Ovis aries: one gene and its partners. The protein of the gene in region 7 purifies or fractionates together with the protein of the main gene of each other region. This does not show direct contact. Links are inferred from orthologs where the notes say so. Each region holds a gene or a part of one and is shown on either strand. Other genes may lie near its edges.

Evidence for each region.
Region 1: the proteins of BAG2 (region 7) and HSF1 purify together in Homo sapiens (affinity purification with mass spectrometry; 3 studies listed by BioGRID and IntAct, with this or other methods). This does not show direct contact. The link is inferred for Ovis aries from reciprocal best matches to the Homo sapiens genes BAG2 and HSF1.
Region 2: the proteins of BAG2 (region 7) and UBAP2 purify together in Homo sapiens (affinity purification with mass spectrometry; 3 studies listed by BioGRID and IntAct, with this or other methods). This does not show direct contact. The link is inferred for Ovis aries from reciprocal best matches to the Homo sapiens genes BAG2 and UBAP2.
Region 3: the proteins of BAG2 (region 7) and RASAL2 purify together in Homo sapiens (affinity purification with mass spectrometry; 3 studies listed by BioGRID and IntAct, with this or other methods). This does not show direct contact. The link is inferred for Ovis aries from reciprocal best matches to the Homo sapiens genes BAG2 and RASAL2.
Region 4: the proteins of BAG2 (region 7) and DNAJC13 purify together in Homo sapiens (affinity purification with mass spectrometry; 3 studies listed by BioGRID and IntAct, with this or other methods). This does not show direct contact. The link is inferred for Ovis aries from reciprocal best matches to the Homo sapiens genes BAG2 and DNAJC13.
Region 5: the proteins of BAG2 (region 7) and IRF2BP2 purify together in Homo sapiens (affinity purification with mass spectrometry; 3 studies listed by BioGRID and IntAct, with this or other methods). This does not show direct contact. The link is inferred for Ovis aries from reciprocal best matches to the Homo sapiens genes BAG2 and IRF2BP2.
Region 6: the proteins of BAG2 (region 7) and LUZP1 purify together in Homo sapiens (affinity purification with mass spectrometry; 3 studies listed by BioGRID and IntAct, with this or other methods). This does not show direct contact. The link is inferred for Ovis aries from reciprocal best matches to the Homo sapiens genes BAG2 and LUZP1.

The regions. Positions count from the first base shown.
Region 1 is NC_056062.1:13,585,933-13,590,598, forward strand, and holds the start of HSF1 (heat shock factor protein 1), read right to left. Parts: upstream 3,111-4,666; 5' UTR 2,944-3,110; coding exon 2,827-2,943; intron 1-2,826. Other genes in the region: ribosome biogenesis protein BOP1, read left to right, coding at 3,271-3,360. UniProt on the Homo sapiens protein: Functions as a stress-inducible and DNA-binding transcription factor that plays a central role in the transcriptional activation of the heat shock response (HSR), leading to the expression of a large class of molecular chaperones, heat shock proteins (HSPs), that protect cells from cellular insult damage.
Region 2 is NC_056055.1:37,555,070-37,559,017, reverse strand, and holds part of UBAP2 (ubiquitin-associated protein 2), read right to left. Parts: coding exon 3,788-3,948; intron 3,667-3,787; exon of another isoform or gene 3,586-3,666; intron 894-3,585; coding exon 680-893; intron 1-679. UniProt on the Homo sapiens protein: Recruits the ubiquitination machinery to RNA polymerase II for polyubiquitination, removal and degradation, when the transcription-coupled nucleotide excision repair (TC-NER) machinery fails to resolve DNA damage. May promote the degradation of ANXA2.
Region 3 is NC_056065.1:59,300,581-59,304,528, reverse strand, and holds part of RASAL2 (ras GTPase-activating protein nGAP), read right to left. Parts: intron 2,548-3,948; coding exon 2,405-2,547; coding exon of another isoform or gene 2,383-2,404; 3' UTR 1-2,382. UniProt on the Homo sapiens protein: Inhibitory regulator of the Ras-cyclic AMP pathway.
Region 4 is NC_056054.1:257,879,323-257,883,270, reverse strand, and holds part of DNAJC13 (dnaJ homolog subfamily C member 13), read left to right. Parts: intron 1-1,810; coding exon 1,811-1,977; intron 1,978-2,081; coding exon 2,082-2,161; intron 2,162-2,243; coding exon 2,244-2,413; intron 2,414-2,876; coding exon 2,877-2,976; intron 2,977-3,948.
Region 5 is NC_056078.1:6,782,998-6,787,594, reverse strand, and holds the start of IRF2BP2 (interferon regulatory factor 2-binding protein 2), read left to right. Parts: upstream 1-1,603; 5' UTR 1,604-2,308; coding exon 2,309-3,359; intron 3,360-3,961; coding exon 3,962-4,597. UniProt on the Homo sapiens protein: Acts as a transcriptional corepressor in a IRF2-dependent manner; this repression is not mediated by histone deacetylase activities. Represses the NFAT1-dependent transactivation of NFAT-responsive promoters.
Region 6 is NC_056055.1:243,406,979-243,411,598, reverse strand, and holds the start of LUZP1 (leucine zipper protein 1), read right to left. Parts: upstream 2,841-4,620; 5' UTR 2,549-2,840; intron 1-2,548.
Region 7 is NC_056073.1:3,196,955-3,201,390, forward strand, and holds the start of BAG2 (BAG family molecular chaperone regulator 2), read right to left. Parts: upstream 2,861-4,436; 5' UTR 2,709-2,860; coding exon 2,596-2,708; intron 2,594-2,595; exon of another isoform or gene 1,588-2,593; intron 1,371-1,587; exon of another isoform or gene 1-1,370. UniProt on the Homo sapiens protein: Co-chaperone for HSP70 and HSC70 chaperone proteins. Acts as a nucleotide-exchange factor (NEF) promoting the release of ADP from the HSP70 and HSC70 proteins thereby triggering client/substrate protein release.

The DNA of each region.
Region 1 (4,666 bases), on a different chromosome or scaffold from region 7:
CTGCCCTCTACCCAGGAGACACGGCATGCAGCGAGGGCAGGTGTGAGCCACAACTGTACACCAGCGAGAGACCGTGGACTCTGGGTCCGGTTCAGCCGTCCTCCTGCTTTTCATTTGTGTTTCCTAGCGTCTCTGAGACTCAGTTCCCGTGTCTGTAAAAGGCCAGCTGCCACCTCTGCGTGGTGCCGTGGGAGGAGGTGAACTGATGCCCTGGGGCTGGGCCTCCTGCTACGTGGAGGGCCGGAAAGGGCTGGCCGGGTCCTGGGTGGCAAGCTCAGGGGGCACCAGGGGCCTCCAAGGCTTCAGTGCCCCTTGCAGCCTGTGCTGTGTGCTGGGTGCTCCTCCAGCCTTTCTTGGCCACTGCCAACCCCCGAGGGCAGGGCGGAGGGCCTGCTGGGGCCCACCTGGCTCCCAGCTAGGAGGAGGAGCGGCCTGCCTGTTGTGGGAGCCCCAGGAACAATCCTCAGCCACCTCGGAGTGGTCAGGTGCAACTGGGGCCCTCGAGGAGTCCCGCAGAGAGCTGGCAACCTGACTACAGGCTGCTCTGCAGCCAGGGCCTCCAGAGCGACCCTCTAACTGCAGGCGCTCACACTGGCCACCTGGGATGGGGCCTGGTTTGGCGACACCCAGCTCCTAGGCAAAGGAGGCCCTTGCTCTTAGGGCCTCATGGTGCCCACAGCCTAACAAGAAGAGCCTCCTTCAGCAATGCACCCACCCTCCTACCACTGTTAATGCTGTCTTGAAGCCAAACAGGCCTGATTCACGGAGCATCCCATGGATGCAGCTGCCACGCTCACCAGGTTCCTTCCCAAGGTTGTGGGGCCTTCGGTCCCACAGGGCTGTCTGAGGGGCAGCCCTGGCATATTCTGTGGTGGCCCCACACCAAGCATGGTAACTGACCGGGGGTCTGGGAGGGAAAGGAAACCAACATGACTCTCCAGGTAGGGCCTCAGACTGTGCGGAGGATGCACAGCACTGCTGGGGCTGGAAAACCCCCCACCCCGCCCCCTTTTCCTGTCTCTGGGGGCAAACACAGGGTCCTCGGGGCAGAATGGGGAGAAAAGTTCCAGCTGGAAGGGAGGCACCAAGAGAACAGATGCCAGAACATTCCAAGGCCTCTGGAAGCCAACGCCGGGCTTCAAGACCGCAGAAGTCTCCCCCAGCAGACTTTCTGCCAGAGGCCTGGGGCTTTGTGTGGGCATCGCAGAGGACTCAGGGAGAGGGCCATCTTCTTTCTCAGGGCCAGGCAGCTCCACAGCCCCTGCCCAGCCTGGAAAAGGGCTTCCTTCCACAGCTGAACCAGTGCTCAGGTTCTGTCCTGCCTGGCACCACTAGCCCCCTGCCCGCTGCACCCCGCGCCAAGCACATCCTGGTTGGCCTAAGGACAGAGGGGAGGGAGGTTAAATGCACGGGCTCCAGCCGGCTGCTCCCACTCCTTCCAGTTTAAGTTCCAGCAGGGCTGGTGGGTGGTGCAGCCACTGTGTGTGAGGCTGTGGCAGGCTTGATCCGTCCTGGTTTCCAGCTCTAAGGCCTTGCTGGGAACACAGGAAGTGGGACCTGGAGAGCTCGCTGGCAGGGCTTTGGCTGCTGCCTCACAATCTTTAAGCAGAAACATCAAGCAGATCAAGAGGCGATTATCCCAGTAGATTAAGCTCAGACTATCCCAAAGGATCTCCGATGCCCCTCCCCAACCTGGCTAAGAGTATTTCCTGGGAGTTTAGGGGACAGGAAAAGAAGAGAAATGAAGAATAAAGACAGAAACCTGGGGTCATTTCCTTGGGTCAGCAAAGCTTAGGGCCTTGAACAAGGGGATGGTAGTAACAGGACAGGCTTGGGGAAGGAAGTACAGCCTCCTCTTGGGGAACGCTGCGCAGTTACAGAAGCAGGCAATAGGGATGGAGCGTGGCACACAGGTGTGTCACTGGGACCAACACGAAGTGTTCCCTACAAGGACGCAGTATGATTCTGACTCTCTTTACCAGCTTTGAGACAGAGCTTCAGCAAATAACCCAGGAACCAGAGGACCTGGCCTCCTGCTCTGGGCTCGCCTCAGCTCAGACTGCTGCTCCTTTCTAACGGCTTAACAGTGTGAAAGAGAAGTACTTAGAAGAATCTGGGAGAGCCAGCGCCCTCAGGAGAGCAAGTGTGCCCGGAGGCACCCAGAGGTTCCGCAAACCAGGGCAGCCCAGGCCGCACACCTGCGGGCCGCGAGCTATGGCTCGGGCCTTTCCCGGACGCAACGTCACAGCCCGGACGCAGATTCTCAGCCGCAACTCCAGACAGTCTCTGCTTTACCTCTGCAAGCGGGGTAGCTGTCTGGCCTGCAGGGTCAGACCATGGAGACGAGCCTGCTGCCAGGCAACTGGAGGCAGGGGCGTGGATAGAGAGGCCCCGAGAGGAACGAAATAAAAAGTGGCTCTGGGGGAACCCAGCTGTGGTATCCGGACACGAGTTCGAGACCCACCACAACTTTATGACGTTTTGCTTTGTTTTTCGGTCCCTTTCCTTTTCAGTAGAGCAGCGCCCTCCAATACCTGCGCCAAATCCTCATTTCCTCGCAACAGCTGCCGACCCCACCACCCTGGTAACTCATCTGAGAAGCTGTGGGGTCACCTGGCCACCACACTCGCTACGAAACTGGGCGCTGCCCTCAAGCCAGGCGCGCTTCCGCCGTCGTCTCACAATTACTCGGCGAGAGACCGAGGAGAAGAGGCCCTTCCTGCCCAGACCCGGGCAGCGCGCACCGAGGGGAAGCCTCGGACGCTCTCCCGAACCCCCGGCTGTCCGCCCCTACAGGCCCCGAGGCCGGCGCGCCCAGCCCCTCACCGGGCTCCAGCAGATGAGCGCGTCCGTGTCCGGGTCGCTCACGAGAGTCCACAGCTTGGTCAGGAAGGCCGGGACGTTGCTGGGCCCCGCCGCGCCCGGGCCCACGGGCAGATCCATACCGGGCGAGACGGGAGAGGAGGAGGTAGCAACCGCAAAGAGAGGCCGAGGGACGGGCTAGCGCAGCCGCCGCGCCTGCTGCCTGGGCCGCGCTGCCGCCGCCCGCTGCGCACACACGGCCCCGGGGCCTGGCATGGCCGCCGCCATCTTGCGACGGGCGCGCTCCCGCCGGCGCCGCCCGCCCGCGTCCCCACGGCGCGCGCGTGCGCGCCGGCCCAGCCCATTTGGGCCCGCCTCTCGCCCTCTGACCCTTCGGGCCCCGCCCCCGGGCCCACGCGGTCTGTTAGCTGCCGGAAGTGGCGGCGCGGGTCCTGGCGGTCAGGGAGCATGGCTTTCGCGCTGAGTGGCGCAGTGGCGGCGGCGACAGTGGCGCGGCCCGGGAAGCGGCCGCCGGAGCCGGAGCCGGAGCTGGAGGAGGTGACCACGGGCTGCTCGAGCGGGACGGGGTGGCGCGGCTGGGCCGCACATGGCGGCTCCGGGGCGGCCAGCGCCGGGGAGCAGGGCCCAGGAGTGCGAGGAGGCGGTTTACCAGCTCTGTGCTGGCGGTGGCCTCGTGGGGGCGTCCTGGGCAGGGGGCTCCCGTAGTGTGGTTGGAGAAGTGTGGGCCGGAGCGAACTAGCAAGAGGGGCTGGCATCGTGCGCGTGGCCTCCCTAGCCCTTTGGATTGTGGTTCCTGCATTAAAGAGGTTTGAGCATGTTAGTACGTTACTGATACGTCGGATACGTTGTAAAAGGGCACGAGAATAGGAAGGCCGTGCCTGCTGTATTGGCCGCATCCTTTTTTTAACTGCACCTAAAGCCATTCCATTCAGACATGCAGCGGAACCTCAGCTGGGTTTGGGGTGTCATCAGCCCTCCAAAGATTGTCCAGCCGCGCCTGCCTAAGGGAGCACTCCACGTTGCTAGGTTGTCAGGCAGCCCCTTTACCCTGACCAATCCTGCTGCCCTCCTGCTAGCAGGCATTCTGGGCACCAGGCTCAGCAGCCATATGTGTTTGTGCCCAAGCCATTTGTGCCATTTTTATTTGCTGTTGTAATTGTGTAGCTTACTAAGCGTTGAAGTAGTGTGTATCAGAGTTATTTCTGTGGAAGTTCAGTTGAATGCTGCTAATTGGTGAGTGCAGGCTTTCCTGTTAGCTGAGAGAATTAGTAGCTATTAAAAAGCAGAAATCTAGGGTTCTCCATTCAAGTAAGTGCTTGCTGAAAGTCTGTAAGTTCTTGTTTCCCCTCTCTAAGTGCATGGGTCTTGTGAACTTAGGGATTGGGTGGTGTCTGGTCAGCAGACCTCTGCTCAGAGGAAGCTCTAGTCCTATCCCATGGGGTGGTGAACCAGAACACTTGCTTTTAAGTAAAGTTTGCATCATTTTTACGTCTCTTCAACCAGTCTTTACAATTTACTGATAAATTGTCAGTCCCTATCTGGTTGGATAGAGTCCTCTTCAGGCTGGAAAAGCGCCTCAGGTTGTGGTCCTCTCTGCCTGTCCCAGACCCCACTCCAGTGCCCTGGTAGCTCTGGAGATGTGAATGCCAGATGTGGCTTTCGGGCGTGAAGGGTGGAGAGCTGGTGCAAGTGATGTGATGGAAATTGAGCTCCTTGGAAAGTCCTTCTCTTGTGAGACTCTAACTGAATGTCTCCTCCAAAGGCAGGAGGCCTGCTGGCGGTGGAAGTGGGTGGTGAGGGAGGCCTGGGTTGGGTGGGTGGTTTTGGTGGAGCTGGAGGCTTG
Region 2 (3,948 bases), on a different chromosome or scaffold from region 7:
CTAGGAAATAGAAGCAACCTAGATATCCATTGACAGATGAATTGATAAAGTAGTTGTGGTACATATACACAATGGAGTATTACTCAGCCATAAAAAGGAACATATATGAGTCGGTTCTGTTGAGGTGGATGAACCTAGAATCTATACAGAGTGAAATGAGTCAGAAAAAGAAAGATAAATATCATATTCTAACATATATACGGAATCTAGGAAAATGGTACTGAAGAATTTATTTTCAGGGCAGCAATGGAGAAACAGACAAAGAGAATAGACTTATGGACATGGCAAGAGGGAAGGAGAGGGTGAGATGTATGGAAAGAGTAACATGGAAACTTACATTACCATATGTAAAACAGATAGCCAATGGGAATTTGCTGTATGGCTCAGGAAACTCAAACAGGTGCTCTGTATCAATCTAGAGGGGTGGGATGGGGTAGCAGATTGGAGGAAGGTTCAAGACGGAGGGGATATTTGTATACCTATGGCTGATTCATGTTGAGGTTTGACAGAAAATAACAAAATTCTGTAAAGCAATTATCCTTCAATAAAAAAATTAATTAAAAAGAAAGAAAGAAATATGCCTGGTCAAATCCACATTAGTGTCGAAAAGTCAACCTACTCTGCCAGTATTTGGCATGTCCTCACTAGGGGCAAACCACCGTAGAAAATGCACACTTACCAAAATGACTAAGGACTGAGGACTGGGAGGCTGGAGGCTTGAGGTCCCAAGAAGAAGTGGTTGTGGGAGAACTCATACTATTTTGCTGTGAACTTGAGGTGGTGGTAAACTGGCCCAAACTCGGAGCTTTCAACTGGTCCAAAATCTGGGAGCTGGTGATGTTCGTCATTTTTGAAGGGGCAAGCTCTCCAAATCCTGAACCAAGGACTGATGACTTTAAAGGGAAAGAAAAACAAAAATCCTCAGCAATACAGAATTTCTACATGCCATTGTATTTTCACAAGGATTTTAAAAATTATAGCCTAGAACATTCTGAATTAGTAAGACTCATCTGAATAAATACTACACCAAAATATTACCAAGTAACAAGATCTGATTAAATAAACCTAACAATCCTTCCTGCTTCTGATACGAGAGCTTTGAGGGAAGAGGAATTTCCCTAGATTTTGTTTCCTAGATTTTAAGAAATTTATTTTTATTCAAAAAGTGGTATCATTTAAGCTTAGAAACACATTACTTTTTTTTTAAGTAGAGAGAAATATCATTAATAAATGACAAAGACAAGGTTGAAAAAAAAATACAATATTTTCTTAAGTGTGGAACGGTAATCATCTTTAACTTGGCAAAGTTTTTACTAGGGTTAGTCACAGAGAGATGAGCCATCAGATCATCCTGTAAGGTTAAAGGCACATCACAGTACTTAACGGTTTGTATTCCAGAATCAGACACTAAATTACAAGGATATGTGTGTGTACTGAGCAGATGCCCTGAACACTGCTGTGTTTATTTCAAGATGTTCTGATGACCAAGTACACCAAATAGACTTCCAGAGCAAATGACCAGCCAACCTAAAAGTGGCAGGTCAAGTGCATTTTTACTTATCAATATCATTAAATTACTGAAAAGATTAAGTCAAAATATAAATCCACAACCACCATAAATGTTAAAAATAGAAATGATCTACATTCCATCAAGAGGCCTGATCTAGAAAGCTGAATCAATTATTTCTGGTATCAATTTCCAAAGCCATGGACTATCTGTCCCAGCTGTTTTTAAAGATATCCAAATTCTCCAATGTGAGCAAAAAACTTCAGGCTGTGGGCAATTACTCCACTTCAAACACAGAATCTGCTTCTATTAAAACAGCTGTGATAACATTACTTACCACTGCTCCTAACTCTGTGCTCATGCCACCTACTACGCCACTCTTATGTCGCTTATAAATGCATCAAAACCTAGCTCAAGCCTACTTGCTCAAAAAAAGGCATCTTCTTCTTTTCTTCCCCAATCTCTACCCTGTATCAGCTAATTTAATTGTAGCACACTTTCTGTGTGTTTCACAACAGGATGACATCACTGCATCAATGACTAAAGCCTTGCTTCAGGTAATACCTATTAGCACAGGGCTTCAATTCCACCTCCACATTTCACTCAATGGGGACAGTTTACAAATGTGCCTACGGGTACACTTGTGCACATGCATTCACATAAACGCATACAAATGCTCAACTCCCAGTGCCAAAGATCCTGACCGGTCTTGTGTAGAATCTGGCTTAATCTTATAATCACTAAATATGCCAGATAGTAATAACTGAAGTTTCCCAATGATAGTAAAAGCATAGTATCACTGAGAATCACTGCTCTCATATGCAAAACAATTTGTACTCTGGTTTCTCAAGATGTTGTTCACGACAAAAAGCAACATGCCTGAAGGATGCTGTTAAAATAACATTAATGTCCTATCTACATTTTCAAGTAGCCTATGATTCCAGCAAGTCAGCAAGGACATCACATCAGTGTACCATTGGCAGATTGGGGAAAAGGAAGTGGATAGTTCAATCAAACTCAGGGGTATTAATGGGCCCTCTCAAAGCAGAGTCTGCCTTGGGTCTGTCCGTCTTCAAGCAGTGACACCCTCTCAAACGCTATCAACAATGACGCTAAAAATGCCAAGTTCCCAAGCTAGTTATACTTGGCATGACATGACTATGCAGAGAAGATGACAATGAGAAGTTCTCATATTCAAGCCTCCAGTTTTTAGGGAACAGCAAAGAATTCTGAATCAAGGCAGGGGGGTGGGGTGGGGTGTGGGTGTGTGTGCGTGTGTGTGTGTGTGTGTGTGTGTACGTGTGTGATTATCATAGATCATATTAATAAGAAATGCCATTCTCAACTGCAGATTTCAGATTAAACACACCAAAGAATGAATCAAAGTTTTATCACTAGTGAAAGCTATGGATTTGTGTCTACAGTCCTTTCAACCTTGAGTCTTGCAACTCAGAACAGCCCACACTTGGACGGAGACCTGAGTTTACCATTCTGCAGCTACATTCTTTCACATTCTACGCTCTAAGCTTTTTACTCCCATCAGTTATCTTCATTTGCTTCACTAACAGTTCCTGAGCTTTTCTCTGACAGAAGTTAGTTCTCTTTTTTTGTCTATGCTACAAACTATGAGGTATCTTAGTTCCCTGAACCCTCACCCCTGCAGTGGAAGCACAGAGCCTTAACCACTGGATCACTAGTGAAGACCCAGGAGCTGAACTGTTACAGAAGCCAAAGTCATATATGCAGCAGCAGATGGCACTGTTCCAATAAAAGCATATTCAATTTTTAAGGGCCTCTACTATACAACTGTTTGGAATAACAAAACCAAAATGCTAAAAATTTAAGAACCTAGGCAGATCTAGAAATAACTGCTTTTGCAGATTAGCAAATCAATACTGAAACATTAGCATCTAAGTAAACTGCAAAACAAATGAAAATTTAACATCTTAAGTATAGAGACAGACTCTGAAACAAACCCAAGGGAAAAAATCATCCTTCTTACTAGAAGGATCCCTAAGTTGATTATGACTGAACTAATTCATCATTCAACTAATCATAAAGAAGTACTTTTAATCTTCATCCAGAAAACTCAGTGGTTGAATTCTACACAGAACTGTCAGATATGTGCTTGGAAATTATGACATCATTGTTTTCTGGACTGAGATCTAGTGTAGAGATTTTTATAGGCAAAAAAATAATGATAAGGCAAGTGCCATTCAAGAATACATTTATTCATGGGACCATTCCTTAAAATCCCATACTAAGAGAAAAGTGAGTTACCAAACTCTGAGGCGGATAGGAGTTGACAGCATCAGAGCTGCCAGTCCCTGGTGCCATCTGATTGTTGTGCTGAGAGTTCGTGAAGACAAGGGCTTGGCCAAAGCTCTGTTGTTGTGAAATTTCAAAGGAGTTGACTTCTGGGGCTTGACTGGGAGGAACAG
Region 3 (3,948 bases), on a different chromosome or scaffold from region 7:
CATCACCAACTATACTTAAGGCCACTGAAACTGACCATTCTTTTACCAGGTTTTCTGAAGGCTTTTATACAGAATGGCTAGAGCTGAAAATAGTCACAAACAAGAACAGACCTGTGTTTACACACCCTCTCCCCCAACACAGAGCACTACTTCAGAATTGGTAGGGTTTTTTTTTTTTTCCTATTCTAATTAGTGATTTTGGCCACAGTGTGCCCTCAACTTGGAGGGAAAGGGGATAAGAATTTATAAAATCATGACCAGGGGTCAAGAAAATACACAAGCGCTAAAACACGTGGGATGATGTCTGCAGATCAGATAAGCACACCAGGCAGCTCCTGTTTTAGATCTTCGACAGGCAGAAATGGGAATGTTACGGAGGGGACATATTTCAAAAGACTGTGAGTCGGGGGCCATGTGAGGTTGTTGAGATACAAGGTCAAACACAAAGATCTACTGGAGAGCAGTGTTTAAGAGGTCAGAATGCAAGTCTGCAGTACAGTGGAAAGGGAAGCTTGGTGACTCTGTTGGGGCATCACCCAGAAGGGGACCTGATAAATGTTCTCTTGTCCCCTTTGTAGTTCTAAGTATTCCGTTATGTGGAAACACTTACTCCATGCATATGGCTTCCTGGGGTGTTTTTTTTTCCCCCTCCCTCCTCTCCCTTAAAAAATAATTCCCTAAGGTTTATCATTTAAAATAAACATCATTAACTTATTTGAGAAATGTGGTTGCTTTCTCAATACAAGCAATTGCTTAGATCTTGCTTAATGAGATTCTAACTCCTTGTAACATTAAATCCGACAGCATAGAAGGCAGGAACTTTTCCTATTTGTGCAGTTATATGTACGTATGTGTGAATATATGTGTATATATACTTGTCTATATACTATCTGTCTAACTTGTAACATTTCATACTTCTGATAATCAAGGTTGCATTTAAGATGACGTTTCACACCTCTGGAAAAAAAAAAAAAAGGAAGTAAATGAAGTTCCATAACTGTTCTGTCCTACAATAAAGCCATGGATGACGACTAGTGAAACTGGGTTATTATTGCCAAATCTACAAAGAGCATGGGAATAACAGCTGGAATACGCTGTCCTCCCACTTTCAGTATTTTATTTTTCATTAAGAGTAATCATGACTTTTAAGAGAGCAATGCTTCCGATTTGGATTTCTTGTCCAAATTTAAAAGAAGAAGCAATTTAAAAGTGAAAGACTGAGATAAAATTACCCTGCCCCGAGACCTGCTAGTACACTGGATAAAATCTTTATCCCAAACCAAAGTTGTAACTTACAAATAGAATAAAAATTTTTAATAGGAACTATTCAGAGCTTCCTGCTATGGTATGATATGGTTAGCCCTTTTCTGTACAGAAGAAAGGGTGTTTCTTTCGGATGGCTTATGGACAGTAGATTTGAATAACCTCTCCAGGGGAGAGTAAACCCTGTTGGTGATGACTGCTCCCACCAAAGGGGAGGAAAGGGCAAGTGGGTATGTGAAGATGAAGATGGTTTCTAGAGACACAGATATTTATAGTTTTGTAAACTCTAAAGAGGAGAAAGAACACCTTTTATTACAACTGGGGTTAAAAAAAAAAAAAAGCCCCCTACCTAAAGTGGAAAAATTTCCATCTGCTTACAGACAGAAGGAAATGAACATCAACAGGAGTTCAACAGAAACCCCTCCTAGAGTCCGGTTTCGATGCAACAGCTCTTATCTGTGTCCTCTGGAACAGTGTGTCCCAAGTCAGATCAGCTGTCCATGCAGAACCAGTCCCGCTTGATCAGTGGGATGAACTGTTTCATTTGGATCTTGGTAATTTGCATGTTTTCCTACAGGACAAGGGAACCAGAGCGGGGCTTTTAACCTGGCAGATGAATCCCTGAAAAATTCATTCTGACCATGTCCTGTCGCGGTCCGTGTGCTCTATCAGACAGATGCGTGGTCTCTACCTACTGAGCGGCTGGGCTCATCTCTCATTCACGTACATAGTTCCTACATTTCCTCCTCTAACAACTGCAGTGCTTTCAACAAGAGGACAACAATAATAAAAATAGCAATAGTTAAAAAGGTAATCTACATTATTAACTTCCTTTGGGTATATTACAGTGGTATTTTCTGTACATGGCCCAGAACTAAGTTCCCTATGTACATAGAGACATGGGGTGGGGGTGGGGGAAGCATCGACCTTGGAAGTCTTAGCCTTATGCCCTGAAAGACAAGGTTCCTTTCTTCGGTCCAGACTTGCTCGCCAGCCTGCTGTTCTGAAGCAGAGGCATTCTGTAAACCTGGTGGGGCTGGGGAGAGGGCTGGGGACAGGAGAGTGGGGACGTTTCCTTCTGTCTCCTCCCACAGTCTGTCTATTTGTGAGGCCCGTCCGTCAGCAGCTGCTGTTTTTGAATTCACCATTCTCCGTGATGGAAAGCTTGGTGGGGTTGGTGGGGGAGATGCCATTTCGGACCTGCATGCTGTACCGTTCCTTCACCTGGGTCAGCGCGCTCATCAGTCTGGTGTTGGCCGAATCCAGCGACACGATCCGTTTTTCCTACAACACACCAAACGGGGCTTTATTCTGGCTCCATGTGGGCCAGCGCCGTAATGCTCTACCAGATGACTGCTCTAATTAATGCTTTCTATCAAACAGCAGTGCACATGATGCTTCCCAGACAAATGGAACGTCTCTGCCTCTTTCTGCACCCGAGTCAGGCCAGCTTCCCCTGGGCCCAATGGGTTTGTGTTTCTTTTTCCCCTTCAGCATTGTAGGGTTTGTTACTCATCACCCCTTGGGACCCTAAGACATCACATAAAAATGACACCATGTGTTATTCAGACTATGAGACAGAGGTGTCAAGCTGCTTTGCTGTAGCAAGTGCTTTGGGTCAAAACTTAAACACAGGAATTAGGTGGCAAAGAAAGAAGCACCAGAGGTTTCATTTCACAGAGGAGAAGTGCATGTGATCTATGGGTTCTCAGCCCCCAAAGGGGCACACCGGTCACATGTGGAAAGATTTCACGTGGTGCTCAAAACTGAAACAGTACATGGTGGCAGTTTATAGTCACCGACAAAGTGAGGATGCGACAGCGAGAGGGGGAGGAGCAGCCAAAAGCTAGACCAAGGGGTTATTTGAATGTGGGAAGGGAGATGTGGCCGGAGGGGGATGCCGAAAACATAACACATGGAAACAAACAGAGAACACAAGCTCCTAGACTCATTCCAGCTCAGAGGTACTCCAGGAAAGCTACCCAATAAGGAAGACTGCTTTCATTTTGCTTTTGAATCTCAGAAAGAAAAAAAAAAAGCCTTAGAACCAATATCTTGGAACCAAAGACTGTTGAATACACGCATTAAAAAAAGAGAAAAAAATGAAGGAACAAAATGGCAATCAGAGAAAAGCAGACTCATCTAAATTAAAAAAAAAAAACAAAAACCATCCCATCAAAATATTATTAGTTTTGCAAAGACTAGGAGAGAAATCCTAATCTTAGCTTCAGCAGCTAGGTAAATCATTCTAGAACCTCTCCTACATGAAGTTGCCATTTTTCAGAAAACAACTAATTAAAAAACAAAACAAAACATGTGAGGAACAACCCCCCAGAGCCAAAAACAGGTTTCCTACCCAGGGATTGTTTTCATTTAGTCAGGGAAAAGCATGGTAAGGAAGAGTCACGGTCAGGGTTAGAGAGGACACACAAATGTCCGTGTGACGGAGGCTATTCCTTGCTGTTATGGGAGTAGCTCCACACGGCTGTGAGCAGCACTGCTCTGCAGGGAAATATGCTGCCCAAGATGCAGAAGGAAGACCACTGCCCTCGGGGGACATTTAGGGAGAAAGCATATATTGTTGGGTTGGCCAAAAAATTCATTCGGCAACAGCGTACAAAAACCCGAATGAACTTTATGGCCAACCCAATATAACAGTAGCATCAGGTAAGGCTTCCTTTTAAT
Region 4 (3,948 bases), on a different chromosome or scaffold from region 7:
CTTTAAAATGATGTAATGAAGGAAAAGACAACTTTATTTTGCTGCATGTTTGAAATATCCTTCATTTCGTTTTCAAGTTTCGAAAGAGAATGGTTCAGTTCAGTTCAGTCGCTCAGTCGTATCCGGCCGGCTGTTTGTGACCCCATGAACCGCAGCACACCAGGCCTCCCTGTCCGTCAGCAACTCCCAGAGTCCACCTAAACCCATGTGCATTGAGTCAGTGATGCCATCCAACCATCTTATCCTCTATCGTCCCCTTCTCCTCCTGCCCTCAGTCTTTCCCAGCATCAGGGTCTTTTCCAATGAGTCAGCTCTTTGCATCAGGTGGCCAAAGGATTGGAGTTTCAGCTTCAACATCAGTCTTTCTAATGAATACGCAGGACTGATCTCCTTTAGGATGGACTGGTTGGATCTCCCTGCAGTCCTAGGGACTCTCAAGAGTCTTCTCCAACACAGCAGTTCAAAAGCATCAATTCTTCAGTGCTCAGTTTTCTTTATAGTCCTCACATCCATACATGACCTCTGAAAAAACCATAAAAATGGTTACTTGATATTAAATCAAAGGATGGAAAATAAAGTATGTTTCTGAAACTTACACTTTTTAAGTATTTAAAAATAATACCTTTCACTTTGATTCTTAAATTGTTTGGATGATGGTAGCCAGTTACTTTGATAAAAATGCACTCAGTGCAACTACCACATGGGAAAACAACTAAACCTGTGTGCAGGTTTTGTGTGGGTATGTTTTAAACTCCTTTAGGTGAATACAAAGGAATGTAATCACTGGAGCATATGGTAAGAGTTTGCTGAGTTTTGTAAGAAACTGCCAAACTGTATTCCTAAAGTGGCTCTACCATTGTGCATTCCAACCAGAAGTGAATGAGAGTTCCTGTTTCTCCACATCCTTATCAGCATTTGGTGGTGTCAGTATTTCAGATTTGGCCATTCTAACACTAATGTTGTGGTATCTTGTTTTAATTAGCATTTTCCTGATGTTATATGATGTAAAGCATCATACAGGACTTTGGATCATTCTTTTTCCTTGTTCTTTCCACTTTAATTTTGTATTGGGGTATAGCCAGTTAACAAAATTGTAATTGTTTCAAGTGAACAGCAAAGGATTCAGCCATACGTATACATGTATCCATTCTCCCCCAAACCCTCCTCCCACCCAGGCTGCAGGATCATTTTTTTATTGGGTTATTCTTTTTATTGTTGAATTTTAAGATTTCTTAGTATATTTTGGGTAATGGTCCTTTATCAGATATGTCTTTTTTAAATATTTATTCCCAACTTGTGGCTTGTCTTTTTATTCTCTTGATGAAGTTTCTTGAATAAGTAAAACTGTAGAGAAGCAGATAAATGGTTGCCTGAGGCTAGGGAGTTTTTTGCAAATGGGCACAAGGAAACTTTTTGGGGTGCTGGAAATGTATAAAAACTGAATTGTGGTAATGATTGTACAACTGTATAAATTTATGAAAAATTACCAGACTCTACATTTTAATTAAATGACTTTTGTGATTTGTAAGTTATCCCTCAGTAAAACTGTTAAAGATAATCTTAAAATTAAAAAACAGGAGGAAGATGTTAATGATCCATTCCTTTAGTAATTTGAATATGATATTAAACAGAAAAGTGAAGATAAAGTATTGGATGTCAGGTTCTCTCCTGCCACTTCTCTTTAGTACTTCCCTGGTACCCAGGGTGCCCCCCTGAGCAGGTTACCTTCTAAAGGACCTATGCTGCTTTCTAAATGAAAATCTCCCTAGATTATCAATCCTAAAACCTTTGTATTTTTAACTTTGCTTAGAGATTCCTTATTAGCAAGTTTGCTGGATGGAGTAAGAGCCTCTGGTAACCGAGATGTTTGTGTAAAAATGACATCAACTCATAAAGGTCAGCGATGGGGGTTACTCAGCATGCCTGTCGATGAGGAAGTAGAGAGCCTTCATCTCAGATTCTTAGCTACACCTCCAAGTAAGTATTGATTTAAATATAATTTCATTTCCATCCATCTACTTAACAATAAATAAACATAGTGCAGACCTCTAAATCGTTTTGAATCATTCATTTCCTTACAGATGGCAACTTTGCAGATGCTGTGTTCAGGTTCAACGCTAACATTTCATATAGTGGAGTTCTGCATGCAGTGACGCAGGATGTAAGACAAATTGTATCATAATTTGTTCATTGTCATTAATTTTTGGTATAGAAACTCTTTTGAAATACTCTTCCTCACCTAGGGTCTCTTCTCAGAAAACAAAGAAAAACTGATCAATAATGCCATAACGGCATTATTGTCCCAAGAAGGGGATGTTGTTGCTTCAAATGCAGAACTTGAGAGTCAATTCCAGGCTGTGAGGAGGCTTGTGGCTTCCAAAGCTGGTTTTCTAGCTTTTACTCAGCTTCCAAAGTAAGTTGCCTTAATTTTTTTTCTTTTAATAAGAATTTGAAAAAGTCAAAATAGCAAAACATCAACAAATTTACCTCTTTATATCTGATTAAACTTGTTACTTTTTAATATGGTGAGATAGTAGTTTCTATTCATGAGATATAGAAAAGCAAGATGAATGAATGGAAATGATATTGCTGACTCTTATGTATACATTGACCCATGATATTACTGACTCTTGTTTTAGTGAATTTGAATGGGATGTTCAAATTCAAGCCTTTTAGTTTTAATCAACCTTCAAGCCCCCCATCAAAGGAAAAAAAATTATGAAAACTGTTATGTTCTAGATATGGGATTCAGAATATTTAATTGCTGTAGTAATGTAGTAGAAACTTAAAATAACTTAGTATGTTATGTTTTTATAATAAAATAATAGAATGACGCTCTGGTGTTGCTACTTTACACTGTTGTTTTGTCCCATGAGGTTTCGGGAGCGTCTTGGAGTGAAGGTAGTAAAAGCACTCAAGAGGAGCAACAATGGAGTAATCCATGCAGCTGTGGATATGCTCTGTGCCCTCATGTGTGTAAGTACTGGTGTTTTTCTCAAGGAAGCTGATTCTAAGTGACTGATGGTTTAAATTTCCACAAACCTAGATTTTATTGTTTCAATTAAATTCGATGTTTTTATATTTCCTAACTTGCTCTTACAGCCATTTACTTATACAAATAAACATTTGTTTAGCATAGCCTATAAACTAGGCACTGTGCTGTTTACAAAAAGAAATACCATGATGTTAAGACAGAATTCCTCCCTGAAATTGCTGGCAGTCTAGTAAGGTAGGCATGTGTATATAACTATATACATAGTAGGGGCCATGGGATCCCTAAGAAGCAGCACTTGATTCTGGTTTTGTGATGAGAATATAAAAAGGTTCTAGGTTAGTCTTTATGGGATATATTACACTTGATCTGAATCTTAAGGGGCAGGTAGATAATTTCTAGTTGCGAGAAGACTTTCCTAAGGAAGAGTAATTCAGTTCAGTTCAGTTCAGTCGCTCAGTCATGTCCGAGTCTTTGCGACCCTATGAACCGCAGCACGCCAGGCCTCCCTGTCCATCACCAACTCCCGGAGTCCACCCACACCCATGTGATGCCATCCAATCATCTCATCCTCTGTTTGCCCCTTCTCCTCCTGCCCTCAATCTTTCCCAGCATCAAGGTCTTTTCCAATGAGTCAGCTCTTCGCATCAAGTGGCCAAAGTATTGGAGTTTCAGCTTCAACATCAGTCCCTCCAATGAACACCCAGGACTGATCTCCTTTAGGATGGACTGGTTGGATATCCTTGCAGTCCAAGGGACTCTCAAGAGTCTTCTGCAACACCACAGTTCAAAAGCATCAATTCTTCTGCACTCAGCTTTCTTTATAGTCCAACTCTCACATCCATACATGACCACTGGAAAAACCATAGCCTTGACTAGATGGACCTTTGTTGACAAAGTAATGTCTCTGCTTTTTAATATGCTCTCTAGGTTGGTCATAACTTTTCTTCCAAGGA
Region 5 (4,597 bases), on a different chromosome or scaffold from region 7:
CTGGAAATCCCCACAAGACATTCAGGCTTTGCCTGCAAAAACATTTAGCTCTGGCATTACATTTTCTGTGCCATTTTCGAACAGATTTTCTCATGTGCTTTAAGCAGCTCCCTCCACTGTTTCTCTAAGGGTGTTTTTCCTCTTCCCTGTGGTTAATTCTTTGAGGCAACCTGGCATTTTCAATAGCAACAACTAGAGAGAAACGTCAGCAGGATTTTTTTCTCTCTCCACCTACCAATCCAGTTGTAGGGAAGATAATATAATTAGTACCCTGTTCTTCCCACACTTAACCAGCTCATTCCAGTCTCAGGGAGAGAGGTGGGCCTGTTTTCCAACAAAGGAAGCTCGGGAGGCCGCCCTTCCAGAGCTGAAGTGTAAAGGTCCCAACTGAGAGTGACTAAGCCCGCGTCTATTAGTCAGAAAGACTAACGACCAGCCAAAAGTGATTTACCATAACACACGCCAGCTCCTCCTCCCGATAAAAGTGTGAAACTCAAGTGCTCAATTCAGTCTGGGCACAGCCTGTGGCTGCCAACGGTGGCAGAACGCGGCGAGACTGGCTGGCTCTGCACCCACATGTCGCCTTCGCGCCAGGCGGGTTTGCACCCACCTAACCCCATCCTGGGCGGTGTGGTGGGCTCGAGGTCGGCCCTGCCCACCCAGCGGGGCCGGGAATGGCTGAGATCTGCCGGGTCCGCGTGACCCGCAGGCCAGCCTGCCGCTCACCCCCAAGCGCGCGCGGACCCCACCGCCGCTCGTGCCCATGCCCCGCGCCACCTGGAGTCCAAGTTTGGCCCCGTGAACGGGGCCTGGAGGCCTAGAGTCGCCGGCGGGGGGGCGGAGCCTGCGCGGTGACGCGGCCTCTTTGGCCGCTGACCCCGGATCCCTGGAATGTGCATTCGTTCAATGGAGCCGCCAGTGCCAGCGGCGCCGAGTCACGTCTGCGCGGAGCGTGCGCACTCGGCGGCGGCGGCGCACGCGGCCCGCGGCCCCGCGCCCACGTCACGCGGCTGCCGCGCGAACCTGCGCCAGGTGGCCGGGACCCCCGCGCTGTAGCGAGGGCCGGCCGGGAGGGAGCGCGGGGTGCATTGCGCGGTGCTGCCGCTCCCTCCCGGAAGGGCTCCGAGAAGCGGCGGGTGGACTCGATCCTAGGCCTGAGAGCACGCCCTCTTTTAGTAAAACTTCAGGGGACCGGCGGCGCCTGTGTCCTCCCCAAGACCATGCGAGTGTAAAAGCGCTTGCCGAAGAGTTCAAATAAAGCTCCTTAAAAGATGTTTAAAAACGGACAGAACCAAGTTACAAAGTGGCCTTGCTTTTCAAAACACGAGTTTTACACGGTTTGCTCTAAACGGATCTGGAGGAGAGGGAACTCGGCTCGAGTGGTCGAGGCAGCGGAGCGGGTGCAGGGAAACAAGCTGCGCCAGCCACGCGTTCACGTCGGGGACACAGGGCGCGGCGCGGACGGGAGGGCGGGCACAGAGGAGCCGGCTCTCCCAGCAGCGCCCGTTCTGCGGCGGGGGGAGGGGGCGGGGGGGGGGGGGCGCGCGCGCGAGGGGAGGGGGCCCGCGCAGGCGCCTTGCGAGGCTGTCGAAGAATCAAGTCTGTAGAAGTGGAGCGGCCGCGGCGGCAGCAGCAGCAGCGACGGCGGCGGCGGAGCTGAGGCGGGCTGGGCGCTGACGCGGGCGCTGGAGAGCGGCGACGCCAGGAGCTGTGAGAGAGCAGCGGAGCGACCCGGGGTCCGCGCCGCGTCCGAGCTCCGCGCCGCCCGGCCGCCGCCGCCGCCGCCGCCGCCGCCCCGGCGCGGCATGCCCCGCCGCTCGGGCTGAGCCTGCCCCGGCGGCCGCCCCCCGCCCCCCGCCCCCCCAACCTCCCCGCCCCCCGCCCCGCACTCCGCGCCAGCTGCCGCCGCGACCTGCTGCGCTCCCCCGCGTCCGCGCGGCCCGTCTTCGCCCCGGTCTGGAGGCCAGCCGCGGCTCCAGCCGAGCCCCCGCCGCCGCCGCCGCGCCCGCCGCGCCGCGCCGCCCCGCCGCCCGCCCGAGCCCGCGCCGGCCGGGGGGACGTGCTGCCGCGGCTGCAGCCCCTCGCCCCGCGCCCGCCGCCCCTCGTGCATCGGGGGCGCTGCGCGGGCGCCGAGCCTTCGCGGGCTTTGCCGCCGCCGCCGCCGCCTCTGCGGCCGCCGCCGCCGCTGGTGGGGGAGACGCGGGGTTGGGGGGGGAGGAGGGCGCGCGTGGTGCCGGCGGGTAGCGGCGGCGCCCCCTCCTCCTCCGCCTCCTCCTCCTCCTCCTCCGGCGCCGCGGGCTCCTCGGACATGGCCGCGGCTGTGGCGGTGGCCGCCGCGTCTCGGCGGCAGTCGTGCTACCTGTGTGACCTGCCCCGCATGCCCTGGGCCATGATCTGGGACTTCACCGAGCCCGTGTGCCGCGGCTGCGTCAACTACGAGGGCGCCGACCGCGTCGAGTTCGTCATCGAGACGGCGCGGCAGCTCAAGCGGGCGCACGGCTGCTTCCCGGAGGGCCGCTCCCCGCCCGGCGCCGCGGCCCCGGCCGCCGCTAAGCCGCCGCCGCTCTCGGCCAAGGACCTTCTCCTGCAGCAGCAGCAGCAGCTCGGCCACGGCGGCCCTGAGGCCGCCCCGCGCGCTCCTCAGGCCTTGGAGCGCTACCCTCTGGCGGCCGCCGCAGCCGAGCGGCCCCCGCGCCTGGGCTCCGACTTCGGCGGCAGCCGCCCGGCCGCCGCCCTGGCCCAGCCGCCGACGCCGCAGCCGCCGCCTGTGAACGGCATCCTGGTGCCCAACGGTTTCTCCAAGCTGGAGGAGCCGCCGGAGCTGAACCGCCAGAGCCCGAACCCGCGGCGCGGCCACGCCGTGCCGCCCACCCTGGTGCCGCTCATGAACGGCTCGGCCACACCACTGCCCGCCGCGCTTGGCCTGGGCGGCCGTGCCGCCGCCTCGCTGGCCGCCGTGTCCGGGGCCGCGGCCGCCGGCCTGGGCTCGGCGCAGCCCGCCGAGATGGGCGCCCACAAGCGGCCGGCGTCCGTGTCGAGCAGCGCGGCCGCGGAGCACGAGCAGCGCGAGGCGGCGGCCAAGGAGAAGCAGCCGCCGGCGGCCTCGCACCGCGGCCCGGCCGACAGCTTGTCCACCGCGGCCGGGGCGGCCGAGCTGGGCAGCGAGGGCGCAGGCAAAGGCCGCGGGCCGGGCGAGCAGGACTGGGTCAACCGGCCCAAGACCGTGCGAGACACGCTGCTGGCGCTGCACCAGCACGGCCACTCGGCGCCCTTCGAGAGCAAGTTTAAGAAGGAGCCGGCCCTGACTGCAGGCAGGTTGTTGGGTTTCGAGGCCAACGGGGCCAACGGGTCTAAAGCAGGTAGGGGCGGCTGTGGAGTGAGGGGGTTTAGGGGCGAAGCGGGGCTTGAGAGCCGAGGAGGGGGTGCTCTTCCTATTGGCCGTTCTCCCCCGGCCCAGAAATAGCAAACATCCAACTTCCTGATCTGCTCGAGGCGGAACCAGTGCTTAGTGGCAACGTGTTCCTCTGCTGAAGCAGCATAACAGAGATGAGTCAGATGGACCGATAGGCAGCGACACAGGGCTTTCCTTTCCCAGCACATTCCTGGATGCGAGCATGAGGGCACCAGTCACCTTTTAACCTGAGGGTGGGTGGGGGGGGGGGGGGATTGGGGGGCGTTAACTCTCATGTGCACAGGGCAGCCTGGGTACTTGCAGGCCTGTGGAAGAACAGGCAGTGCTTTCCGTGCCTTTTTTTTTTTTTTTTTTTAACTGCTAGACTGCCTCAGAGCCTTCTCAGTCTAAGTGGTTTAAGTTGCACGTGCTCTTGAAACTTGGTTTTTCTGTACCAACTTTGGAGAATAGAAATTCTTCAGAGGGTTGTGTTGTGTGTTAGTGAAAGAAAGATCCTTTTTAGTGCACGTTCATTTATTCTTTTCCCCTTTTCTATCTTTGTTCTTCCAGTTGCAAGAACAGCAAGGAAAAGGAAGCCTTCTCCTGAGCCAGAAGGTGAAGTCGGGCCCCCTAAGATCAATGGAGAGGCCCAGCCGTGGCTGTCTACATCCACAGAAGGGCTCAAGATCCCCATCACTCCTGCATCCTCTTTTGTGTCGCCACCACCACCCACTGCCTCACCTCATTCCAACCGGACCACACCGCCTGAAGCGGCCCAGAACGGCCAGTCCCCCATGGCAGCCCTGATCTTGGTAGCAGACAATGCAGGGGGCAGTCATGCCTCGAAAGATGCCAACCAGGTGCACTCCACCACCAGACGGAACAGCAGCAGTCCACCCTCTCCGTCCTCTATGAACCAAAGAAGGCTGGGCCCCCGAGAGGTGGGGGGCCCAGGGGCAGGCGGCGCCGGAGGACTGGAGCCAGTGCACCCCGCCAGCCTCCCAGACTCCTCCCTGGCCGCCAGCGCCCCGCTGTGCTGCACCCTCTGCCATGAGCGGCTGGAGGACACCCACTTTGTGCAGTGCCCTTCTGTTCCTTCGCACAAGTTCTGCTTCCCCTGCTCCAGACAAAGCATCAAACAGCAGGGAGCTAGTGGAGAGGTCTATTGTCCCAGTGGGGAAAAATGCCCTCTTGTGGGCTCCAATG
Region 6 (4,620 bases), on a different chromosome or scaffold from region 7:
TGCTGGGCTGGAGGAAGCACAAGCTGGAATCAAGATTGCCAGGAGAAATATCAATAACCTCAGATATGCAGATGACACCACCCTTATGGCAGAAAGTGAAGAAGAATTAAAGAGCCTCTTGATGAAAGTGAAAGAGGAGAGTGAAAAAATTGGCTTAAAGCTCAACATTCAGGAAACTAAGATCATGGCATCTGGTCCCATCATCACTTCATGGCAGATAGATGGGGAAACAATGGAAAGAGTGGCTGACTTTATTTTTCTGGGCTCCAAAATCAGTGCAGATGGTGACTGCAGCCATGAAATTAAAAGATGCTTACTCCTTGGAAGGTAAGTTATGACCAACCTAGACAGCATATTCAAAAGCAGAGACATTACTTTGCCAACCAAGGTCTGTCTAGTCAAGGCTATGGTTTTTCCAGTGGTCATGTATGGATGTGAGAGTTGGACTATAAAGAAAGCTGAGGGCCAAAGAATTGATGCTTTTGAACTGTGGTGTTGGAGAAGACTCTTGAGCTTCTCTTGGACTGCAAGGAGATCTAACCAGTCCATTCTAAAGGAGATCAGTCCTGGGTGTTCATTGTAAGGACTGACATTGAGGCTGAAACTCCACTACTTTGGCCACCTAATGCGAAGAGCTGACTCACTGGAAAAGACCCTGATGCTGGGAAAGATTGAGGGCAGGAGAAGAAGGGGATGACAGAGGATGAGATGGCTGGATGGCATCACTGACTCGATGGACATGGCTTTGGGTGAACTCTGGGAGTTGGTGATGGACAGGGAGGCCTGGCGTGCTGCGATTCATGTCGCAAAGAGTTGGACATGACGGAGCGACTGAACTGAACTGAACTGAAGTTGTATCACAAAGAGAAGTTGTTACATCAGCTCTTCTGGGAATGATTCTGCTTGGCACATTCCTGTTTGTGTGTATCCCCACGAATGTTTTACTCCCCATTAACACATTTAGGACAGTCTTCCTCACATAAACGTGTATTAGTCCCCCCACTAGCCTGGGACCTTCTCAAGGAGGGGAACAATGCTTATTCATTTCTGATCCCTTTCTGCCTCCAGGACAGGGTCTGGTGTTTCCTCGGTTCCTTCATTCTTTTCTTTATTTCATAACAAATGGTTGAGAGCCTAACGTGTAAGACAGCAAAGGTCCCTGCCTTCTTGGACCTTAAGACTGATGAAGAGACTTCCCTGGTGGTGAAGTGGTTAAGAATCCGCCTTGCAGTGCAGGGGCTGCAGGTTCAATCCCTGGTCTGGGAACGAAACTCTCACATGCTACAGAACAACTAGGCCCATGCCACCACTACAGAGGCCCATGGACCACAGCTAGAGAATTCACGAGCCACAATGAAAGATCCTGCGTGATCCAACAGACATCTCCCATACGGCAACTAAGACCCAGGGCAGCCAAATAAGTAAATAAAAAGTTTTTGTGGTTTTTTTTTTTAAAGCAGTGCTCAAAAAAAAAAAAAGTTTCAAAAACCAAAACAAACAAAAAAGACTGGTGGGTGGAGGGACAAGAAAATATTAAGCACAATCAATTACTTCATAACAACTGCATTAAATCCCCCAGAGTATCAGGCCAGGTGCAATGAGAGCTTGGGGAATGTGGAGTGGGGACCTAATTGAATTCTGGACACAGGGAAGGTTTCCTACAGGAGGTGGCCTTGAGGCTCAGAGAGGTTAAGAAATTTGCTCAAGGTCACACAGCTGCTAAGTGGTAAAGCTGGGATTTTAACCCAGAAGGCCTCACTCCCAAACACATATTCCTCTACTAGACAACACCACCTTTTATCTCCTCTCTCCTATTTTTTCCTGACTCTTACTAGGGAGAGGGAGCAAGGCCTGTCTAACGTAGGATGCTCCAAAGCAATATTTTCCCCAGATTGAGGGGTCAGAGCACTCTTTGAGAATCTGGTGAAATCCATGAAACCTCTCCTAGGAACTACATGGACACAGACAGACCCACAGAATCTTGCCTGCAGTTTCAAGGGGTTCATAGGGATCATGAGGCCCAGGTTTAGAACTCACACCACGGGAACCTTACAGTGAGATTCTCAGAACCTCAGACAAGACACCAGGACCTCACATTCAGAGACAGACCCCGGAACTCCATAAAAAGATTCTCAAGATCCAGGAGAAAGATCCTGGGAACCTGTAAGGATCCCAAGCCCCTCCCCTGCAGAGACATTCTTAAATGCTATAGACTATAGAGGTGGCTCAGGCCCTAAAAAAGCCAGCATCAACCCCTGCGCCTTGGAAAGCTAAGACCGTTTTGGAGTCACTGACACTTTGAAACTGAGGCGGGGGAAATGCAACCTACAACAGGCTTTGCACAAAATCCAGGCGTTCACAGACCTCTAGGAGGTCGTCAATTACCCCCAGAATCAGGCCTCCTGTTCTCGGGCCTCCATACAACCTGGACCCTCCCGAGCCCCTCACGAACCGGTCCACAGACTCAAGACACAAACTTTAGAGTCAAGCAGCCCATGGATCGAATTCCGGCCCTATAGTTTACTAGCCATGACCTTGGACCACTCACCTACAAACCCTCGGGCCTCAGCGTCTCACCTCCGCAAAGAGAGGTTCGGCCACCTCTCCCTCCCCAGTCTGGCCCCCCGCGGCGTGGGCTCCGTGCCAGGTGGGCGCTGGCGTCCGCGGGACCCAGGGCACTCGGCTCGGGCGCCCGGGACCGGGTCTGCGGCGCTTGCCTGCGATCCTGATGGACCGGCTGCAGCGGGAGCGCGAGCGGCGGGGGAGGCGGCGCGCCTGCCGCAGTGACAGCTCCGCGCCGCCGCGGGCCTGGGAAGCCGGCGAGGCCGTTCCCACCCGCTGGGCAGGGCGTTCCCGCCGGCCGGCTTCCTGCAGTCGGGGGCAGCCGAGTGGGGGAGGCGCGGAGGGGCCGCGGGGCCGGCAGGCCTGGTTCCTGGCTTTCTCTCCGCGTTTCCTGAGCCGGACTGGCCGGGGGATGGGACCCAGCACAAACGTCCTTCCTGGGAGCGCAGCCAGGAAATCGCGTCCTGGTTCGCTCAGGTTCCTGCTGTGTCCCAGGACGATGCCGGTTGTGGTCCATAATCTTCTCGTCCTGACATAATGAGTACGATGCAAGAAGAAACGGCAGACCCCAGACCCCACAGCCCAGCGAGACTCCAATCCCTGATGGAAGTTGGTTAATTTCATTCTACAGATGAGAAATCGAAGGCTGAAAAAGTGAAGTGACATCATAAAAACACTGCTACTGATAAAAAGAAGTGCTCACTACCTACCAGGTGCTGTGCTACAAATGCGCTAAAGTAACTGTCTCTGAGCCCTCAGAATCTATGAAGATAACTATTGTCCCTATGTTATAAATGAAGAAACTGAGAACCAGAGAGGTCAAGTGGTTTCTGCAGTGTCACACAGCTAGGAGTTAAATGCCAGCCTTGTGTTTCTGGAGCTCAGGCCACTCCACTGTCCTGCTTCCCAGATGTCCTATTTCAACTCATGACAGTGAGTAACCTGAGAGTCAGAACCCCGTCTCCTTTGTTTCTGGGTCCCCCAAACGCCACTTGGAACTTGACACAAAATAAGTGCTCGGAGGTGACTCTGGGGCCTAGTGTGTTGCGTACATGCTCAGTCATGTCCAGCTCTTTGCAACCCCACGGACTATATAGCCCACCAGACTCTTCTGTCCCTGGGATTTTTCCAGGTAAGAATACTGGAATGGGTTGCCATCTTCCCTACCTAGGGATCAAACCTGCATCTCTTGCCCCTCCTGCATTGGCAGGCACATTCTTTACCACTGCACCACCCAGGAAGCCCCCTGGAGCCTAGCAGAGAAGCTCAAAGTTATCAGGACTAGTAGGAGGCATCTTATCTGACTCCTTCTGGAGCCTTCATCATAGGGAAAATTCAGCCTCTGCTTCAATAGTTCCTACCATGACAAACTCTCTCCCACCATAATCCTTTCCTCTGTTGAACAAATATGTTTGGTCTGAAATGTAAGTACTTCATTTTGCTCATGGTTCCTTGTAAACAGAGGAAGACCATTGCCCTTCTCATAACCATAGTATACACCGCGTGGTATGCTTAGCCGTTTTACAAAGGTTCAATAATTTCAAGTCTTTGTGAACTGAAATAACACCAGCTATTCACCAAAGACGTTCCTCTTCCGTGTGTAGAGTTGTTTCAGAGAAAAGCAGCCCAGACTACATATTCCAGCACCCCTTGCAACTAAGTATGTGACAATGGGCTATGGGCAGGACGATGTGTGCCTTGTCCAGGCCCAATCCAAGTTAAAAACTATGTATGCTGTCTCAAAGCTCTGTCTTTTCTCTCTGTCTGCCAACGGCATGGGCTTCCCAGGTGGCGCTACTGGTAAAGAAACTGCCTCAGGTTCGGTCCCTAAGTCAGGAAGATCCCCCGGAGGAGGGTGTGGCAACCCATTCCAGTATTCTTGCCTGGAGAATCTCGTGGACAGAGGAGCCTGGTGAGCTACAGTCCATAGGGTCTCAAAGAGTTGGACACGACTGACTTAGCACACTTGCATGCCAACTGCATGCCAACACAGGCGAACTCAGGAAATCACATGCTGAACACGGGAGAACCTTGGTCAGCCCCGGTTTCACTCAGGTC
Region 7 (4,436 bases):
TGATCTAAACCCGGATCTAAGTGGAATTTTCACTTCTTTCAGTAAAATCATATACTATTCCTACACTTTGAAATATGACATAGTAACTCAGAAAACTCAGGCGTAAAGCATTAAGCTCTGCAGCCACTCCTGAGCTCTTTTAACTTCTCAAGCCTCAATTTCCCGCCTGGACAATGAGGGTGACATAATTTCCACAAAGACACAGGACCTGTAGTCATGCTGGTTAGCTAAGATACCTGTTGGAGGGTATCATTTATGAATTATATGATCACTGCTAAACTAGTAACAATCGTGAGCAAAGTGCTCAGAGCCACTGACAAATGGAAAAGTCAGAGGCCATTTGCACGGTCACGAAAACCCGTAGAGAGAGACATCACCTTTTTAGGAGGAAGCAAAAAAGGAGATCTAGTTTCGTGCTAACGCATTAGAAACAACTGGAGTTTCTTCAGCGATTTGTGAGATGCGGTCAAACATTTGAAAAACTTTAAACACCATGGACACCAGTTCACATGGCAGGTCATGAAGCACTGAGCATAATTCTATTTTCGATTTCATGCGGAGAAAGTTTTTGCTGAGACTAGCACAACAGAGGGACAGTAAACACAGACCTCCTGGTACAGTCTGTGATTTTCAGTGTGCCTGCAACACTGCTTTATTAGCCACTCGTAACATGAAAGTAAATGACAGTTAACACATGAATGTCTTGTTTTCTTTTTAAACTTGATCTTCTGGGCCTGATTCTAGTTTCTAACAGCTCAGTGCTCTCTTCCATGACCCATCTGCCTTCATAAACTTCTCTATTTTTTACTTAACCTTCCAAAAGACTTAATTTTGTCAGCATCACTTTTTTTTAAAAGAAAGAAACAAAGCTCATCAGTCTAAAACTAGAAAAGTCCTTAAAATGAACAACTGAACACACATTTATCAGTCTCAGCTCAAGGGTTAATTCAGCAAGTGATTAACCACTTGTACACGGTAATCAGAATTCATTTCACATTAAGGAAGCCCTAGAACGTAATATTTCAAACAAGAAACTTCCTTTTAAAGATGAGCACCTGCCCTATGTGAGGCATCAATTCAAGTCTTAGAACAATAACTCAGCTTCAAGAAAGGAACTGTGTCCTGCCCGAGCTGAGAAGAAAACATCCTTTCTTTCCAACTAGGGAAGAGCCCCCCTGAAATGGCTGAGAACATGCCCTCAAAGTTCTTGAGACCAGAGACGCTCAGTCACTTGTTAACGCTGCTACATAAAATCGTCCACAGGAACTGCTCTGCCTGTTCCACCTGCTTCAGCTGGAGAAGGACCATTGTCACTCTCCGTGAAATCGTGGTGGTGAGCGTCTCATTTTCTGAGAAGACATTGTTTCTTTCTGTAATAATAAAAAGAACTATACAATAAATGATGAAAGTCAACATAAATATTAATAAATGATAATAAGTGCCTCATTTGGTTATTAATGTACTTTACTGGCAAACAGACCCCTTGTCCTGTTTTGAGATAAAGACACATATGCAGCCCTTCTTAAAATTGTGTCTTACATGTATTCCTTTGCTCACTCAGAGTCTGGTAACTATGGGAAAAATTACCTGTGGTTTTAGGGAGTTTTGGACGCCTTGGTAAGATCTGCCTGTAATTACACCTGCACACAATTTACCGGACCTTCAATGACAATAAGAAGTTATGGGAAGTACACAGAAGTCTTCATTCACTGTTAGAGAAAAGATTATTTCCCAAATTTCTTACACATTATTTAGGAATCCTATACAAGCCGGTGACTACATTTGTCACTAAGCAGGGTCCCCACACCGGTTTCTATAGAAACTGACAGCAGCACAGCCTGGAAAGAATTCAGGGAAAGAGCCGGGGTGAGGCACTCTGTGCTCTGGGAAAACTGGCAAAACAGGCTCTCCGGTTTTCAGGAACTCAGATTCCTAAATCTTCTCAAATTCAGAAAAGCACTAAAAGCTTTAAGGGAGACAGCAGCTCCTCCTGACCGGTGGTAACCTCTGCGCGCCTGACCCCGGGCCCTGCTCCAAAGTCACATCCTCGCTGACCTCAGCCCGACCCTCGCCGCCAGGGCTTCCCTCTGCGCGCTGACCGCCGTGGACACCCCGACCGGGAGGGGACACGCCGACCGCAGGGACACCCCGACCGGGAGGGAGCGCTGCGGCTCGGGCCCTGGCGGCCGGGAAGGTGGGACGGCGCCCCGGTGAGGCCGAGCGCGGCTTGGGGAGACACCTGTCCGCTGCTCTCGGGCCTGAGGCCAGACGGATTTTTCCGTTTTGCAAAGGGCTCGGTCGCTCAGCACAGAAACCACTAACCGGCCCCGGTCCTAAAACCGCTCGCGGCGGGGAGTGGGCCGGAAACACCTGGCCCCCCGCGGAAGGTTCTGGAAGCTCCGCGGCGGCACGGCCGTCGTCTCGAGTCACGTCCCCCCTACCTCCTCTGTTCGGGGTCGCGCGGTCCCGGCGCTCGGGGCCGCCGAAGGGTGGGGGGCCGCCGCGCCGACCCAGCGCCGCGCTGCCCTCCGCTCCGCCCTCGCCCCCCGGTCCTCGCCCGCAGCTCCGTCCCCGCGCGGCCCCCGCCCCGCGCACCTGAGCTCCAGCTGGTCCAGGCTCTCGAGCAGGCGGCTGGAGCGATCGGCCATGGACGAGGAGCGACAGAAGCGGCCCTCGTTGGCCTTGGCGCTGATCCTCGCCTGAGCCATCTGCGCCGGGCGGGCGGCCCGAGGTCACCGCCGTCCCCACGCGCCAACCGTCTACTCGGATGCGCTGCCCGCAAACCCGAAGTCGGGGGCCAGGGCACCCAGATAAGGGCGCGAGGGCTTGGCGGCCGGACTCCGACCGCGCGAGCTGCCTCGGGGGCGGCGCGGCGGGGCGGCTCCGCGTGGCGCCAGGCCCGGCCCCGCCCCGAGCACGCCCCGGGGCGAGGCCCGCGCCAACCACGCCCTCGCCCCGCCCCACGGAGGCCCCGCCCCCAAGCATAGCCGGGGCGGGGCTCGCGTGAGCCACGCCCTCACCCAGGCTGGCCCGCGGCGCCCCGCCCCCGATCACGCCCCGGGGCGGGCTCGCACCAGCCCCGCCCTCTCCCCGCTCCGGGGCCATCCGCCGCGAGGAAGGGGTCCTTTGCGTAGCCGTGGTTCCCGGGCACCTTCCCGAGGTGAGAACTGGAGTCTGGACGCCAACAGAGCAGAAGACAAAAAGCCGCCCTGTCCAGCTGCGTGTAGGGGTCAAGGTGAACCTCATCGTTTTCACACCCACTCGCATGAAAGCATTTGTAATGACTTCTCTGTTTAAGTTATTGGTTGGAATTCGAGTGAAATGATTGTTATTTAAGGCCGTTTCTAACCCCATTTGTATAAACCTCCTGTTATGAGAAGACCATGGAGGCCGCTCGGCCACCGTGCAGGTCAGGGAGTAGTAGAGGGGTGGCGGGGCCAGAGCACACTAGGCGTTCTGCCCAGCAGTACACGGAGGGGATGCACAGGGCACCGGGAAGGGGATAATAACAGTTCAAGGCTGGAGCCCAACCTTTAATCTGAGATCAAAGTCGAGGTACTTGAACAGAGATGAGGCCCCTAAGGCTAGATCCCAGTTCCTCTGAACTCTTAAATACTAATTCACAACTGCTGTAGGGGGTCATCTGGCCTCATTAGACGTTTTATTGTATCATGACAAACGTGGAATCCTAGACGTTTTGTGAATGTGCTAGACTCTCTCACACCTCAGACTCAGTGGACTCCAACTCCAGAGAATACCCAGGCCCGTCTTCACTCCCCACTGGGCCAGCATCCCAGCCTTGCCCTCCCATCTGGTCTGGTGCTGTTTGCACCACTGTCTGTGCTCAGCTCAGCAGCTGCAGTGATCCAGAATAAGGCACAGCAAATGACTCCTCAGAAACCTTCAGCGGCTCACTTGTGAAATGAGTAAAAGCCAAGGCCTTCAGAAGAGGCCTCAGAGGACTCTCGTCGCCTGCTGCCTGCACTAGCCTTGCTGTGCATGTCTGGATAAGCTCACTCCCTACCTTCAGGCCTTTGCTCAAGTTCTCTAAGGACCCCGACCACTCTAGTACGAAGAGCAAGCCCCGCCCCCGCCTCACCCCCACCGCTCCTCAGCTCTTTCGGGCGGCTGTTTTCCTTCCTCATCTCAGCAACCCCCCCCAAGTGTGCCCCACTGCGGAGGTGAGGGCTTCCTTTTGCTCACTGATGTATTTCAAGTGCTTAGAATAGTCGCTGACAAATGTTAAGTACTCAATAAATACTTTGTGAGTGAAAGAATAAATGGTTTAAAAGAAATTTAAAAGAAAAAAAATTGATGGAAAAAAAGAAAGCTCTTTCAGTTGAAGGCTATGCTACTGGGTTTCTGGTTACCCTGCCCAAGTAAGTCCAGGAGAGTCCTTGCACCTTGTTCTTGGGAGAGGTCTGAGTGGCCAAATG